Linked DNA regions of Mus musculus: region 2 is reported to be linked to region 1. The links are microRNA targets in miRTarBase. Many come from high-throughput screens and were not tested one by one. Region 1 holds a microRNA gene; the other region holds the end of a gene's coding sequence.
What was found. The annotated mature microRNA mmu-miR-5099 reads UUAGAUCGAUGUGGUGCUCC and lies in region 1 at 1,749-1,768, shown strand. An mRNA with a match to its seed (bases 2 to 7 or 8) in the 3' UTR can be bound and repressed. Matches are read on the target gene's strand: a 7mer-m8 pairs with bases 2 to 8, a 7mer-A1 pairs with bases 2 to 7 and ends in A, and an 8mer does both.

Region 2: the mRNA of Ooep is a reported target of mmu-miR-5099. Seed matches in the 3' UTR shown: 7mer-m8 at 2,855-2,861.

What each region holds. Positions count from the first base shown.
Region 1 is chr12:36,814,502-36,819,032 of GRCm38, forward strand. It overlaps Mir5099 (microRNA 5099), which reads left to right and starts at 1,704; the gene lies at 1,704-1,777.
Region 2 is chr9:78,374,093-78,378,092 of GRCm38, forward strand. It overlaps Ooep (oocyte expressed protein), which reads right to left. Exons shown (of 3, transcript NM_026480.3): 2 at 3,883-4,000; 3 at 2,811-3,599. The coding sequence ends at 3,463. Among named protein-coding and RNA genes, the nearest start is that of Ooep, 2.5 kb to the right of the region's middle. RefSeq lists cis regulatory regions at 1-2,387, 1-2,387 and an enhancer at 1-1,318.

The DNA of each region.
Region 1 (4,531 bases):
GCTTTCTGACCTGAATGAGTTCCAGTCCTGACTTCCTTGGTGATCAACAGCAGTATGGAAGTGTAAGCTGAATAAACCCTTTCCTCCCCAACTTGCTTCTTGGTCATGATGCTTGTACAGGAATAGAAACCCTGACTAAGACAATAAATAGTTTAGAGTGATTTGGTTGTTTTTTTTTTTTTTTTTTTTTTTTTTTTTTTTTTGTGTGTGTGTGTGTGTTTTATGTACTAAGCGTCACTTGCAGAGCCTCATCATCCAGCCTACCGCTGAGCCATGCATCTAGCTCTAATTGATTTCTTTCTCTACTTTTTAAAATGTTTTATTGTTTTGAGAATTTAGATATGAATAAATACATTACACTTGTTTCCACTCTGCCATCTTCTGTCTCCAACTTCTTCCTCCTCCATCTTTCTTTTTAACTCCTCCATCTGTCCCACTTAGATTAATGTATATGTATGTGTATATTAATATATGTGATCTATATTGCATGCATATATATATATATATATATGTATATATATATATATATATATATATATATATATATATATATATATGTGTACACACACACCACTGAGTCCATTTCATGGTGCTGATTTGTACATATATTTATGCTGCCAACTTGGGTTAGGTAAGTTATCAGTGTCTTGTTCCAGGAAAACTGATTTTCCATCCCTCAGTGGTCTTTGGAGTTGGGACTCATCATCATTATGGGCCAGGCCTTGTGAAATTTTCCTCATCCCTATTGACCTTTTGACAGATGTGCTCTTCATGCAAAGCTTGTTTAGACAACTAAATTACTGAGATTTCATGGTTGTAGCATTTCTTTTGTGGCTGGCTACAAGGCACTTTCAGCAGGCACATGATGTGGCAGTGAATTGACTAAACCACTTTGGCTCCTGGTGAGTCTTGTGACCTGCATCTGACCAAGAGCTCTCTAGATTCGTGAATGAAAGACACACACACACATACACACACACACACACACAGGTGGGTGCACATGTGTGCGACAGCTAATTTTGATGTGGCTGGGCACTTCTAAACCTACCGCTGCTAGCAAACACTCCTCTCAAGTATTCCAGAGTTAACATCTTTTAAAATTTATATGTCATCTCTGATACCCCAGACTCAATTGGGTAAGTGGCTCCTAGGGCTACTTTTCCTGATCCTTACATGCCAGTGGGCCTTTAAGTTCCATCTTTGTGCTTCCCCATTATGGTGAATCTCTGCCTCTTCCTCCTCTTCCTCCTCCTCCTCCTTCTCCTCCCCCTTCCCCCTCCTCCTCCTCCTCCTCCTCCTCCTCCTCCTCCTCCTCCTCCTTCTGTTTCTCAGTCCTTTGCCCACTGCAATCTAAATGTCCCTCCCCATCTCCTTGCCAAGCTATTGGTTGTACAGCAATTCTTTATTTACCAGTCAAAGCCAGCTGGGTGCAGAGACGCTGAGGTCTGTAAGTGAGGCTCTGGGAGCCAAATTGAGACAAAGCATTAGAACTACTTCCCAACAACATGGCTCTTAAATCTTTCCACATCTCTCTTCCACCATGTTTCCTGTGCCATTAGATGTGGGGTTGTATTGTATTGTAGCTGTACTAATTTCCCTGAGAACATTTACCAGTTGTGGATCTCTCTAGTAACCCCTATCTATTGTAAGAAGACATTCCATAACAGGATGTGGCACTTTATGTGACTTTTGAATAAATGTTTAGAATTCAGTTAGAAATTACATTGATTTAAGAAGTGGTAATGGGCTTAGATCGATGTGGTGCTCCTGAGTTCTCTTCAGGCCAGGGCCTAAGCTGCGCCAGGCGAGGGACAGACATTCATGGCGAATGGAGGCCGCTCTTCTCGTTCTGCCCTCGGGCCCCTCGTCTCTCCACCCCATCCTTATACCGGTGGTGTATGGAAGGCAGGGGTGCGGCTCTCTGGCCCAAGCTCTTACCCGAGCGCGCACTTTTCTCAGTGGTTCGCGTGGTCCTTGTGGACGAGTCAGGCGCCTGGTTGCCCTTACGTGTTTCACTTCGGTCGTGTCTCGCTTGACCATGTTCTCCGAGCCGGGGAATGTGGCTGGTGGTGTTGCATATTCTTCCTGTCTGGTGTGTGTGTGCACGCGCTGTTTCTTGCAATCCTCGAGGTGCTCCTTGGGGGTGGGGGTGGGGGAAAGAAGTAGTAATGGCAGCTTTTCCTTTAGTGTCTATAATTACTACAACTCTAGTAGATGGCCAGATTTAAAGTGCCAGGTATGAATTTCCTCCCATTGATCAGGTCTGAAGTTCAATCAGAGAACTCTTGATTACATAAAAGATGTAAGTGTCACTGCTGCTCCATTGGGCACATCTTGTCAAGCTGGTCCTTGTTGTGGCTAGCATTCTTGACAGCTGGTAGGACTACTGATTGCATTTCTTCCTTGTTATCTTATATAACACCTTCTAACCGAGGAGAGCTAGATGCCAGGGGTACTTGCAGGTCAGTACCAGCTACTTGTTTTGAAGTTCTGTGTCTGAAGTATGTGTTGTCTTCAGCAATTGAATCTTGCTTTCAAATTCTGGGTATTAGCTCAGGTCAATTGTAATGATTATACTGTTTTGAAGGTTGCCTTATCTTTCTTGATAAACAACGTGAAGGGAGAGTTTCCTTGCTTGGGACTTGGGTATTTGTTAGAGAATATCTGGCTTCAAAGGGAACATTATGACTCAGTATGAATTTTAATGTAGTGAGAGTCAGGAATGCCATCTTTCTTATTTTTGGGGGGGTGTTTTATCTGGATTGATGAATATAATTTATTGAAAATGAGTATTATGATTCCTATCATTTTCCAACAGACTGATGATTTAGGTGGTTGTGGTATCAAAGTTAAATGTTAAAAATGGGCTCTGCAACATGGGCCTTCACTGACAAAATCTTCATAGCCATAGCCCCTGCTGAGTACCCAGGCTATCTGCTTCAGAGACTAGCACTGGGATGGAAAATGGTATTATTTCCTGGGGTGAGAGGGCAACTAATTGTCTCATGATTGGTTGATGTCATTGTATCACTGCCATTATGGAAAGGACAGTGTTTTGTTCTTACTGGAACAATACTCTAGATATGGAATTTTTTTTTACATACACATAATTGCCTTTTTTAAGTTTAATTTTTATTTTTATATTATTATTATATCATTTCTCCTTCCTTCCAAACCCTCTCTAGTGTTCCCTTATTATCTTTCAAATCCGTGCCTTCTTTTTCTTTAATTGTGCTAAATGCATAAATACAATCATCTTAGTTTATGTTACTTATGTGTATGATTTCAGGACTGACCATAACATATTGAATAAACATTTGGTTTGTTCTTTCAAGGGATGAGTATTTCACCAGCTCTTAGCAATTCTTAGTTGTTCATAGTTTTTTGAAACTTCCAAAAAACAAAACAAAACCACTACATAAAGCACTTCAACTGATCAAAATGTAGTGGTTTTGGAAGTTTCAAAAAACTATGAACAACTGATCTAAAATCCAAAACATTCCTGCAGCAAGGCTCAGGGATCATGAGTGAGAAGATCAGGGAGTTGCAGAAGATATTTCTATCAACTATAGCAATTGTGAACTTTCTGATTTCTTTATGAACTGTCAGGAATGTCAACATAGTATTGCTTCTGGACAAATGAAGTGCAGCAATGGGCCTCAGATTATACAAGTCTGACATATTGCCACACTGTGCTGAAGACACTAGTTGAGTTGAATGATAGGATGGTCTTTAAAGATACACATGTAGTAACGGTTAGGGTAAGATGATCGTATGTCATAGGGCCAGAGTATGATTTTTCCCAGAGAATGTATGTACTCTGTACCTGTGTCTCACTTGTGAACCTTGGTCTCCCATTACCAAGATAAATGGGTAGAAAGGGCAGCATCAATGCCCATTGTTGTCTCACGTGTCTCCTTAGCATCAAGTTCCTTCCTGATTCTAGCTCCATATGCTCTGCTCTTGTATTACTGGCAGTTCTATTGAACAGGAACTGAAGGTCACCACCGAGTCACTTTGTGTGGTTATGTGTTTAAATCAACAAAAAAAGTTCCTGTCCAGGCTGAAGTGATAGACCCTTGCTATTAAAGGGAAATTTGGCAAGTGCTGTACAAAGAATATAAGAAATAAAGAATGTGTCTGCTTTGTAGGAAATCTTTACAGTCTGATTTCATTTGGCTTGAAGTTTTCTCATGTTTTATTCCATTTTTCTTGAGCTAATGCTTTGTATGTATAACTCTTTGCTCCTCTTCCAGACTTGACTATACTCACTGATAAACATATAACTCAGTTATTAGGTTTCCACAAAAGCAAACTAAATGAGACATATCTGACTCCAGGCCATGGGTGTATAAGTTAAATGAGCCACCATAAGAGTGAAATTTTCTGACACCTGTTATTTTTAATCTGGAATTTAATGTTTTTCGTCAAAGTATTCTTGAGTAAACAATGCGTCTTATCAGTTGAAAGTCTATTTTGGGTAAGAATTAAGACATGGACAAGTCTCTTTAGTTATTTCATGCAACACTAT
Region 2 (4,000 bases), not on the chromosome of region 1:
TTACTAGTTCCTCCACTACAGGTTATTTTGGTCAAATAAAATCTTTACACATGCTCAGAAACAAAAAGAGGGTCTGGTAAGATGGCTCAGCAGCTGAAGAGCTTGCCAGCCAAGCACGAAGACCTGTATCCGAGCCCATAGAGAGGAAGGAAACGGCTCCAGGGTTGTCTTCAGTCATCCCCATGGGTGCCATGAGATGCGCTGAGCCCTTGCCCCCGCCGCGCCCCCACCCCCTTACAGCAGTTGTAAGACAAAGTGCAGGCACAGCTAGGCCTGCATCATGGAGTTGTTGCTTCTGTTCTATTACCTCCCTCTCGTTGCTGAGCCAACTGCTTAGGTCCCAAGCACTCAGATTAGGTGCTTGGCATAATGCTAATGCATAATTTACATTGGCCCTTAAGTGAGAAGAAAAGAATGTCAGAGCACTCTGCCTGTTTTCAATATCCGCAGGGCAGAACAGGAATGGTGGGCCACACTCCTCATCCCAGAACTGGGGAGGTAGAGGTCCGAGGAGCTGGAATTTAAGGTCATTCTTTGCCATTTATCAAGTTGCAGGCAGAGTACATTTCAATCTCCTAGCCTCCTCCCCGCACCTGGGAGGGAGAGGCTAATCAAAGGAGGTGGGGGTGGGGGCAGCCAGTAGGCATAGAACTTGCTACAAAAACAGAACTGGGTTTATTTTTCCAGCGTTTGATTAAAAAGCCAGGCACCCAGGCCACACCTGTATGTAACCCTAGTGCTGAGAAAGCAGAGAATAGAGGCGTCTTGGTGCTTACCAGCTGGACTAATTAGCCTAATAGGTGAGGTCTAGGTTCAGCAAAAGACCCCGACTCAAAAAACTACAATGGAGCATGGTGTGGTGGCCCCTCCTTTACTCTCAGGATTAGGAGACAGAGGCAGGAAGATCTCAAAGCTTGAGGCCAGCCTGGTTTACAGAGCAAGTTCCCAACATCCAAGGCCACTCCCTAAGGAGTGAGACCCATACCTTTAATTCCAACACTCCAGGAGGCAGGGGCAGGTGAGTTCCCTGGCCACACAGATTTAAAGATAGGATTCCAGGACAATCAAGGCTACACAAAGAAAGCTATTCTTGAAAACCACAAACAGACAAAAACATAAAAGTACAGAGATTGAAGCAGACATCAGTTAACCTCTGGACTCTCCTTGCAAGTCTGTGTGTGTGTGTGTGTGTGTGTGTGTGTGTGTGTGTGTGTGTATGGGTGCACATGCACAGAATATTGGCAAATGGATAAGAGAATCCAGCACAGATCTGTTAAATGTGTTAACTTCTTTGGGCTATCGCAACAAAATAACCCAGACAGTTTAAACAACAGAAATGAGTCCCTGTAATTAGAGTTAGAAGTCCAAAATGGAATTGTCACTGCTTTAGTGTCTGGGTCTACTCTGGTCATCACATGATCTTCCCCAGGTTCACACCTTTGTTTACATTTTCTTTAGGAGTGCATGTTCACAGGTATAGTGATGAAATGACTTAATTTTATATTCATTGCATCCCTTTTTCCTCTGAGACTTGTGCTTGTATCTGCTGAGCCACCACTCTAGCCCCTTTTGAAAGGCTCTGGGGCTGGAGAGATGGCTCAGAGGTTAAGAGCTGAGGTCACGAGTTCAATTCCCAGCAACCACAGAGTGGTTCACAACCATCTGTTAATGGGATCTGATGCCCTCCCTCGTCTGGGGTCTCTGAAGAGAGCGACAAAAACCAAAAACAGCCTTTGTCAGAGAGAGGGGGGGGGAGGAAGGAAAAAAAGAGGCCGGTTCTATCTGTGAAGTGGAATCATGGCCTGGTGATTAAGAGCATCGGGTTGCTCTTCCAAGGACCCAAGTTTGATTCCCAACACCCACATGGAAGCTAACAATAGTTGCGGAGGGATCTGATGCTCTCTTCTGGCCTCTGCAGGCACCAGACACACACGTGGTGCACATACAGACATACAGATAGATACAGGCAAAACCACCCTTACACATAAATAAAAACAGCAAAGCTTTATCTGAAAATATGCTACTCATAGCCTGTGGTCCTGAGTTTGGGGGCTCAAGTATAGGCTAATAAATACAAATTCTGGTAGAAACATAGAATTTTGTCCAGAAGTTACTAAAAAGTTTTAAGTTTTATGCATGAACCTATTCATAAATCTGCTAATGATGATCAATCTGCTTAAACGGTATTGACTTTTTTTAAATCAAGTTCACACCAGAAAAAAAAAAGTATGACAAATTTCTGTGAGAAAACCGGAGTTCCTGGGGTGGGGCCCAGGTAACAGGAAGCATAGTAACAGCTTAGCAACCTTGAGCAGAAATGATTGCCCCAAAGTCATGTTTCAGCATCCTGAGCATGTTAGAGCTGCAAATTAATGTATCCTCTCACGGGGAATCACTGGAGAAGGGGCCCAGGACATTGTTTTGAGGCCCTTCCAAAGTGAATTCTCCTGTCCAACCCCATTCCTGGTACAAGGATTCTCCAGAATTCTGGCTGGCCTTAAATTCAAGAGATCCACCTGCCTCTGCCTCAGGTGCTGGGATCAAAGGCATTGCACCACCACTGCCCAGCTCCCAAGTGAATTCTTGCACACTATAAATCAATGGTTCCCAATCTTTCTAATGCTTAGGCCCTTTAATACATTTCGCGTTGTGTTGATTTCCAATCGTACATTTCTTTGCTACTTCATAACTCGACCACTCTTCTGAATTGTAATGTAAATATCTGATATACAGGATTATATTCTGATCCCAGGTTGAGACTACTGCCTTAACTGGAGTAGGTTAAAAAGTACAAAAGGGTAGCCAGAAATGGTGGAGCACACCTTTATCACAGAACTTGGGAGGCAGAAGCAGGTAGATCGGAGTTCAAGGCCAGCCTGGTCTAAATAGGAGACTCCAGGACGGTCGGGGCGACATAGATATTCTGTCTCAATAAGGAAGGACAAAGGGATCAAGAGCTGACATTTTAATGATGCCCTTTTCCCAAACTACTGGGTAACTTAAAATAATTTGCTTGGGCCAGGCATGGTGGTGCATGTCTTTAATCCCAGCACTCGGGAGGCAGAGGCAGGCGGATTTCTGAGTTCGAGGCCAGTCTGGTCTACAAAGTGAGTTCACGGGCAGCCAGGGCTGCACAGAGAAACCCTGTCTCGAAAAAACAAAACAAAACAAACAAAAAAAAAAAACTTGCTTGACACAGGAGTTAGGGCCCACTTTTAAGTCAACTGTGCCATTCTTGAGGGCCAGACTGAAGTGTTGTTAGAAACCGTAGGAATACAACCTACATACTCCCCGAACCATCAACTGAATACTCAAGTGTTTATAAATTTTACTGTATGTGATCAAACCAACAGCATACCAAAAAAAATTTTTTATATTGGAATAGTTCTACAAATTGCTATTTGCAAAGAAAAATAAACAGGAGGTGCTCGTGAAGGCGGGTAAGAAAATACGTGTAGTGATTTAAGACTCCATCTGTGTTTCTCTTCCCTCCAGCGGAAGCGGAAAGCCAGCCAGTTTTAGCCCTTTCTTACTTAACTTGCTTAGGATTGAGGAGGCACGAATTTTCAAGAACTCTTCAACTTCTTTCACCTTCACAGCTGGAAAAGGATCAACACCAACAGTCAGGCGGGAGGGGCGCAGAGTTTTAAAGAGAAGGGCTTCTGGACCTGGAATCTGGGAAGACTGGTGCCTATGGCTGAGCAGGGGGGGTTAATGGACCTTGGTGTGTCGGTCTTTCCCTACCTTCCTGCCATTTAAGGGCTTTGGAAAGGGATACCCAGGGACAATGTAGTTTCCTGGTGTTTGGAAACTGAAAGAAATTGTGAGAAGCTGAGACTCTCCCGCGGCTTACTCCCCAGGTGGGTCGTCAAAATCCCTTACCTCTTTGGAGTTCGTTTTCTTTGTGCCAGGCCGCCATGTTCAAGAGAATATTTTTCATTCGCGTCTGTGCACTGGGTTGTCCAAAGATGGTGATTTCAGCTAGGTTCCCAGAGTTGAC